Macaca mulatta: one gene and its partner. The protein of the gene in region 1 binds, or shares a complex with, the protein of each later gene. Links are inferred from orthologs where the notes say so. Each region holds a gene or a part of one and is shown on either strand. Other genes may lie near its edges.

What was found.
Region 2: the proteins of EEF1G (region 1) and EEF1B2 are in contact, whole or in part, in a crystal structure (PDB 5DQS), measured with the Homo sapiens proteins. The link is inferred for Macaca mulatta from reciprocal best matches to the Homo sapiens genes EEF1G and EEF1B2. Residues at the interface, in NP_001395.1 of Homo sapiens: Leu146, Lys147, Thr148, Arg149, Thr150, Phe151, Glu155, Arg156, Pro185, Asn186, Arg189, Leu192, Thr193, Asn196, Gln197, Pro198; in NP_001032752.1 of Homo sapiens: Ala20, Asp21, Lys22, Ser23, Tyr24, Tyr28, Val29, Cys50, His51, Arg54, Asn57, His58, Ser61, Tyr62, Glu65.

Annotation. Positions count from the first base shown.
Region 1 is NC_133419.1:11,492,403-11,496,312, reverse strand, and holds the start of EEF1G (elongation factor 1-gamma), read right to left. Parts: upstream 2,351-3,910; 5' UTR 2,342-2,350; coding exon 2,330-2,341; intron 1,270-2,329; coding exon 1,111-1,269; intron 413-1,110; coding exon 349-412; intron 198-348; coding exon 55-197; intron 1-54. Other genes in the region: TUT1 (speckle targeted PIP5K1A-regulated poly(A) polymerase), read right to left, coding at 3,591-3,910. UniProt on the Homo sapiens protein: Probably plays a role in anchoring the complex to other cellular components.
Region 2 is NC_133417.1:111,411,767-111,415,676, reverse strand, and holds the start of EEF1B2 (elongation factor 1-beta), read right to left. Parts: upstream 2,256-3,910; 5' UTR 1,931-2,255; coding exon 1,851-1,930; intron 1,331-1,850; coding exon 1,208-1,330; intron 572-1,207; coding exon 445-571; intron 42-444; exon of another isoform or gene 1-41. UniProt on the Homo sapiens protein: Catalytic subunit of the guanine nucleotide exchange factor (GEF) (eEF1B subcomplex) of the eukaryotic elongation factor 1 complex (eEF1).

The DNA of each region.
Region 1 (3,910 bases):
CCAGGAGCTAAGGCCACCCCTGCCCCTGGCTTCTCCCAAAGTTCCAAGGCTCACCTGTTTGTTGTGGTGCATGATGCCCAAGGTGGGGAATACCCAGGTACTGGCTGGGGGCACTATGTCGGAATCAGCAAAGCTCACCCACTGCACCACCTGGGCTGCTGCCTCTGGAGTACTTCCCCGCAGCTCCTCATTGCTCACTGCAGAGGCAGAACACAAAGGTCAGAACTCTGGGGGAATGCCAACACCAGTCCAGGTCCTGAAGAATTCCTTCATATCCATCCCCGCTCACACCCTCTTGTACACCCTCACCTCCAAATTCTCCCATTCCCATATACCCCTGCAAATTACCATAGTAGGCAATGGCGTTGCTCTCAAACACACAGAATCCATCGTCACCCTCAAATGCTGGAACCTGGGGACAAAGCAGTGAAAAGATAAGGTAAAACACACAAAATTTCTCCCTACCCAATACCAGAAGCCAAACTGCTTTGGATAAAAATACTTATGTAAGACTGACGATCCTCACTATCCAAACTCTCCATACTATCTGATACTCAAGAACCATAAATAAATACTTCAAGAGCTGGGCATCCTTTGCAATCTGAATTCACAATGTTAACTAGGAAGCACAATAGATTTGAATATTACAAGATATTTGTATGAAATCTCTGGATCAAACAAGCAGAAGACCAAAAGTAACTCCTGTATCAATGTATCAGTGCAAGTATTAGTGTGTGACCCAGATCCACATAGTACTTCATCTCCTCCATTCTTAGCATGTTTTTTCACCTATCTCTGTAAACCCCTTGGGGTAAGAATCCTGCCCATAACAGACAATCTGATACATTTGCACTGAAAATGCTTAGTCAAAACTCATTCTCTTTCCCACAAAGTAAACTCGTGAATGTATAAAGTCACAGAATAGCTCTGTACTTTTTTTTTTTTTACAACTACATGTGAATCTGCATTTATCTCAAAATAAAATCACTGAAATATTGAAGAAAATAACATGGGAAGCTCTCTTTTAGAGATGGGGGCCATCTCCAGAATGATAGAATCCCAGGCCTTCGTTTCTCAGAACCGAAGGACACTCCCCATCTCCCAACTCACCTTGCCGGCAGGAAATTTGCGGAGAAATTCAGGGGTGCGGTTGGTTTGGCCAAAATGGAAGTGGGGTGGTGCGGAGAGCACGCGGACCTGAGCCCCGCTGTATTGTGCAGCGATGAGAGCCTTGAAGGCCCTCCAGTTTTCAGGATACGTATACAGGGTCTATGAAAGAAAGAGAGGAACAAAATTAATAAGAGCATTAGGGTCCCAGTCCTAAATGCCACTCCCCAGGATGACTTGCCTGAATAATCCCAATGTGTTCAACTCACCCTTTTACTTCCTCTGGTGAACCAAGTCCTTTAACACTTGTCATATGTAATCAGAATCCTCCGAAATACCAAGAACAGAACTACACACCAACTGCTAAATAAAGCTTGTTGACAGATTTGACCTTCCCTAAGGACACCTCTAGAAGCATTCTCTTTCCCTCAAATCTATCTCCCAAGAAATCCAGAACTTCTAGCTCCATCAGACTCCATCTGCCTACAAACATACTCCCTTCCCTTCACGGAGCCCTCGTTTCATTCATTGATGGTTCCGAGCGCCTGCCTACTCTACTGCTCAGCTGCTCTAAGGAACGCACAACGATCGAGAGATTTCTAGTTCCTCTCAGAGTGGCCAGAGATAGGGGATGGCATGCCGTCTTCTTAAATCAACTCCTCTCCCTCAAAAGCCTTTCTTTCCGTGTCGCGCATACCATCCCTCCGGTCCTGTCCCGCAGCAAGTTCCCCAGCGTTGCCTTCTCTATTAAGCTGGCCAGCGGACTCCAATTGGTCTGACTTCACTGTCCGGAGAATCCTCTCGCTCCCAAACCTCCCTGACAGACTACCTTTAACCGTGCCAGCCGGACCTGCCTACAAAGACCCGCTCTTCACCCTGTCCCCGCTGTTACTCCACAAAACGGTCACAGAAGTTCGTCAACCTACCCAGATACTACGCCTCAAGGCGGCAATAGAGCCGAACCCCTTTTTCAGGCTTCGGACGGCCCAGATTCGGCATCCCTTTTCTCCTCTTCCCCAGACCCTTCCACCTCTGGCCTCCGAGAGCCCCAGCCTCAGTTCCCCTCCAGGCCGTAGGAACCCTGCTCTCCAGCAGTACGGTCTGTAGACCCAGAATCAGTTCCCCATTCAGCCTCAGAACTCCTCTGGCGCCGACTGGCCCCACTCGGGCAAAGGATGGCGGTGGATAGGATGACCCGAACCACCAGCGCCGGCAAACTTACCCCAGCCGCCATGGTGATTCCGCAAAGAAAGGGGGTGGGGTTCTCCCCGCTGCCGCAAAGTAAGCCGCCCAGGAGAGAAAGGAGGGGGAAAGGGGAGAGCCGTGGAGAAACAGCAGCCGGAAAGCGAGGACGACACAGAAGACATACGTACGACAGTTCGGTATCCAGTGGCGCCGAATTGGAAAAAGAACGGAGTGGGTGGGGCCTGCTGGCCAGCGCGGAAAAAGCTCGCGCCTGCGCATTGGAGATCTTGACTGGCCCGCCCCTCAGGTGCAGCGGACCAATTGGAGTCTAGACGTGGAGGTAGACAGCGTGGAGGGCGGGGAAGCTGTGAGAACCCGCTGGAAAAGCCGCCGGTTCTCGGCTACGTGGCGCCGCTGCTGGCCTGGCGCCGTCAGGCTGCTGGGGGCGTCCCCCTCTGGCCCACCCAGGGACGAGTGACTCGATGGTAGGTTCTGCCAAGCCCCTCACATGATTCTGTGAAACTCATGGGAGCGAGGAACGACTGCTGCGCGGAGGTGGCAGTGTGTGTGCTATATCCTTTAGTTCCTGCTCTGCTTTTCCTCCAGAAAGGGATGAGTGTCTAACAGGGGCCCCGGTCTGAACCCGCCTGCCAAAGTGACGTTTGCTCACATCTAACCCCTTACAGCTCCAGGGTGCTGTTACTGCGAGCAAGGACACCGGCCCTCCGGCCCGAAGCAGGGCAGGGACACGAGGGAGAACGCGCCCTGTCCCTCCCGCCTCCTCCGGACTCGGCCCCTGGAGGGGCTGACGCTGGAAGACCCGACATCGTCGCTTCTGATATTCATGGCTTTTGACTCATGTTCAGGTTTGAAATCTCTTACCCAGTTTAAGAACGGGATGAACTCTCCTCGTTTAAAGGAGAGAATGAAGAACCCTGAACGCAAATCTCCATCTTTGTCCCCATTAATCTGAGGCGGCAGGAAGAATGTGGAGGCAAACCTGGCTCTTCTCAGTACTGTTCCAGCCACCCACCGCTCTGCCATTCAGGAACTCTGCGCGGGTGCCAGGTGCCACGCACGGTGCTGCCCCCGCACTCCCCGCAAGCTGTGCGAACTGTAGGAAGGAGAGGCTGCTGGGGTGGAGAGCAGTAGGGAGAGACCCATGTTCGGGGTCAGAGGAGAGCAGCTTCATGAAGTTCTGGGGGAGGCGAAGCATTATGACCAGATGGAAATGAAAGGAAACGGGAGACTCTGTATTAATAAACTAGCAGCTTTATTGCCCTTTAGGGGCCATGTCTTCACTTCAGATGTTTAAGTGCTTGAGGGAGGAAAACCTGTAAGAAATGATGGAGATCAGGGAACAGGCCTTGGCGATCCTGGAGCGGGGTCACAGTGAGCATTCGGTCAGCCAGGGAGACAGACGCCACAAAGCTCAGCAGGGGCTCAGTTTCTGGCCTCTCTTCGCCACCACTCAGTCCTCTCAGCTCCTGGGTGACCTGAGCCTCAGTTGCCAGCCACCCTGCTCCTGTGCCAGCACCACCTCCGGCTCCTGCCTTGGTTTGCTGCTGCAAGCGTCTACGGGCTCGCCGCCGTCCCTGCCACACTCGGTGCCACAAGG
Region 2 (3,910 bases), on another chromosome or scaffold:
GCCGAAAGATGGTGATTTGATTTTATTCATCATGCAACCAGTCAGAATTTGAAAAAGGCATATAAGTTAAAGCCAGGATTCAAATCCAGGCAATTTGGCTTAACCACATTGATAAAATTGCTGATCGATGTATTCTTTTTTTTTTTTGAGACGGAGTCTTGCTCTGTCGCCCAGGCTGGAGTGCAGTGGCATGATCTCGGCTTACTGCAATCTCCGCCTCCCAGGTTCAAGCAATTCTCTGCCTTAGCCTCCTGAGTAGCTGGGATTACAGACACCCGCCACATTTTTTTAAATTTTTAGAACAGACAGGGTTTCACCATCTTGGTCAGGCTGGTCTTGAACTCCTGACCTCGTGATTCACCCGCCTCAGCCTCCCAACATGCTGGGATTACAGGCGTGAGCCACCGTGTCTGGCCGATATATTCTTTATAGAAGATGCCATACCTCCTCATCATCAGATCCAAAGAGATCAATATCATCATCATCTTTACTATCTGTAGCTCCACTTCCTGTAGTGTCTTCCACATCAGCAGGACCATACTTGCCCAAAGCTTTCTTCACTCCTGGCAGGCTTGAAAAACATTTAAATTCAACCACTATTGAGCTAGTATAACATACTTTTCCAGACAATACAAAATAACTTGTTTTAATCACTACTTATCACTAGATCCCTTTTGCAATAATAATTTACCCTTTCACATGCTCCCAGGTAAACACTATCATATGTTCAACTCCTCACCCGACAAGCATTAGTACCATGTGAGACATTATTTTCAATACTCACTATGATTTACTCTTTCAGTATGAACATTTCTGTTTGAGATTTCATTAAGTATGCTCAGTTCCATTCTTAGTGAACTGGAGTCCACTTCCCCAAACTTCCACCCTTGTTGGCAGTTTCAGAAGAATGGCCAAGGACTGAATGAATGAGCCACCCTCTCACCCCAGAGGTGGGCCCCCCAGGTCAAGGTCGAGGCACATTGGCAGGGCAGTGTGGGGAAAAGTTGAATTGCTGCTGTCCATGTTCTACCTGTTCTGTGAAAAAATGGAGGGCTTCAGTCTCTTGGCCTTCTCAGGTTACAGAAAAATTTAGCTTACAATACCCCAACAAAACTAAAGTAGCCTGGGTCTAGTTTTGTCATGTGAACATCCTGATAAAGCTTCGAGAGTAGTCTTATTCTTCAGCTAGATACAAAGATGATTTTACCTGGCCTTTTCCTTTTCGTAGGACTTGATGTGATTATACCAACGTAGGGCATGACACAAGTCAGCAGGCGGTGGCCCGGACACGGCTTCAAATACTGCCACATCTGCTTGTGATGGCACATACCTGCCAATGACACAGAGACATTCACACACACCTTTGAAAAACAAACGCCAGCGAATAAATAATCAGTGCCTATGCATCACATTAATTAGTGGGCACTAACTCCAGTAGGGTTGCTTTAATGCTTTTCTTTTCTTATTATCTCCTTAAAATCAAACCATATGTTTGGGTCACCGCGCTATCCTGAGAAATGTCTGCAGACCTCAAATACTGCAATCTCTAACGTTGCTCTATCTACAACCTAACATGTATTAACTGGGCAGCGATGTGGAAACACCTGGCTGAATTAAGTGTAAATAAAGCACATTTTAACCTTCCTTTGCTCGTGAGCCGCTCCCCGGAGGCCGGGCTCGCACCACACGAGGGCCTTGGGAGATGGCCACGGGGCGCTTTCCCGTCATCCTCGAAAGGGCCCTGGGGCCCCGTCTCCCTCCCTCCAGCGGCAGCCGACACGCTGCGCCACGTGGCCCCGGCCCCGGTCCCAGAAACCCCTCCACCACCCCGACTCAGCCGGTCCGCTCACCCCTCGATGTAGCTCTTGTCCGCCAGGTAATCGTTGAGCACCTGGAGGCCGGCGGGGCTTTTCAGGTCTCCGAAACCCATGGTGTCGGCTGTATCCGAGAGCTGGGAAACAGCAGAAAGAGAGCGCACAAGTTGTGGGCTCCCCGCGCTTAAGAGAGGAAAAAGGGCCCGGAGAAGCCGGAAAATTCCTTATATAGAGACGGAGGCGTTTCCCTCCACCACGCCGGACCGAAGGTTAAAGGTCAAAGTACGTTAGCATTCCCACTTCTCCACGTACGAATTGGGGGCCCTGAATTAAACGGCTCACAAATTGTCCCTGGATCTTTCGTTGCGTTTGGAAATAAATTAATAAAATGGGCATGTCTTAAGTTCATACCTCCACGGCTCCCGAAGATGACGGGAACCGCCCCTAGAAGCGCCGGAGATGACCGAAGACGCTCGGCCTCGAGGCTGCCGGCCACTTCCGGCGGAACTGCGGGTCCAAGTTGTCCTTCCCGCCTCCGGGCTGGGCCGACCTCAGCTCCGCCCTCTGGTCGGCTGACGGAAATTGCCGACAAACTTATCGAATGCAAGGATTCTAGTCCCTCCGGGCTTTCCGTTCTCCAGGCCCGGCTGACAGAGTTAGCTGAGGCCGCCATATTGAGTAAGCGACCCGGCCTCCAAGGGGGTAGTTGTGGTCCAGACAGTTTAGCAGAACAGCCTCCGCGGCTCCGGGGAGAAGGTGAGGTCTTGTATGGATGGGAAGGGTGAGGTGCATGGGTCAGAGGCTTATTTATTGACGGGACTGTTTCCTTTGGCCCACGCGACTTAGTCTTCTCTTGTCCTTGACTGGGAGCCGCCTCCCGCCCCGCCGCCTCGGAAGCCTCTGAGAGCCGGCAAGTGGGGCTTTTAGCCACGGTCTCTGGTCTGATGGAGCAGAAAGGAAGATGAGGATTAGGGGGCCCTCGGGAGCGCTGGCCCGAATGCGGGCTTGTAGGTGACCTTCCCTCTGCAGGGAAAATTCAGGACATTCCCCTCTCAGAGGAGGCCGTTTTATTCCCCGGTAGAGGACCAGTGTCCGATGACTTAAGCCTTAAGACTGAGCCTTTTCCCCCAGATTTTTACACGCCTGGTACAGTACATGATTGTTTGGTCGCTGTTGTGTTAGCAGTGGCTCACGCTTCTGTTGTCCTTATTTGTTTTGTCCATTGACCACGTTGGACAGAATTTTTAAATTCCTTTCACTAACGGGAAATTGAGAAAAATGACTTTTTGAAAAGTTAGCTCAGGGTTGCATTGCGAATAACAAAATATTGTTTACAAGTTATTGGGATCTATGCTTGTACTGTGAGGTCTTGGATCAGACACAACTTCACACACGAATTGACAGTATAGAAGTGTAACAATAACTTTTTGATGAATAAACAGGTTATTTTTGTTTTGCGGAATAGTCTTGTTTTCACCGACTTAACGCTGCCAGAGCACCTGCACTTTTTAAATCCGGGAAAGTGGTCCCTACAAATTAACGACCAGAAATTAGAGATTCAGTTCACTTAACAGTTACTGAACGTTTACTACGAGCCAGAAATGAGTCCGTAAAGAAGAATAAAATGGGTGATATTCTGGGGAATCGTCAGGAAATGTTAGATAGGCTGGTCAATGAAACTGAGAAAAGGCTTCGAAGCCAAGATTTGAAGGATAAGGAGGGGCCAGGGAAGAACATTTCAGTCCGAGGTCACTGCCAGTGTCAAGAGGGGAGGGGCTGTGTGGGAATAGTGTGGAAGCCTGGTGACCTGTTAAGAAGATATTGAAATACTCCAGGCAAGGAGTGATGGTGGATTGGGATAGGGTGGTACCTTGGAAGGCAGAAAGTAGATGGATGAATCCATGTTGGAGAACGTGGAATAGTATAGTCCCTATACGGAAAAGTATCCAGTCTACTTTTAGAAATGACATTTTAGTCATTAACATTTTTCCATCTAAAGATATAATTATTTCTATTGCTACTTGGTATATCATTGTTCAAAGTACATATCGAAGTGTTGCAAATCTGTATTTCTTACGTTGGGCTATGCCTTGATC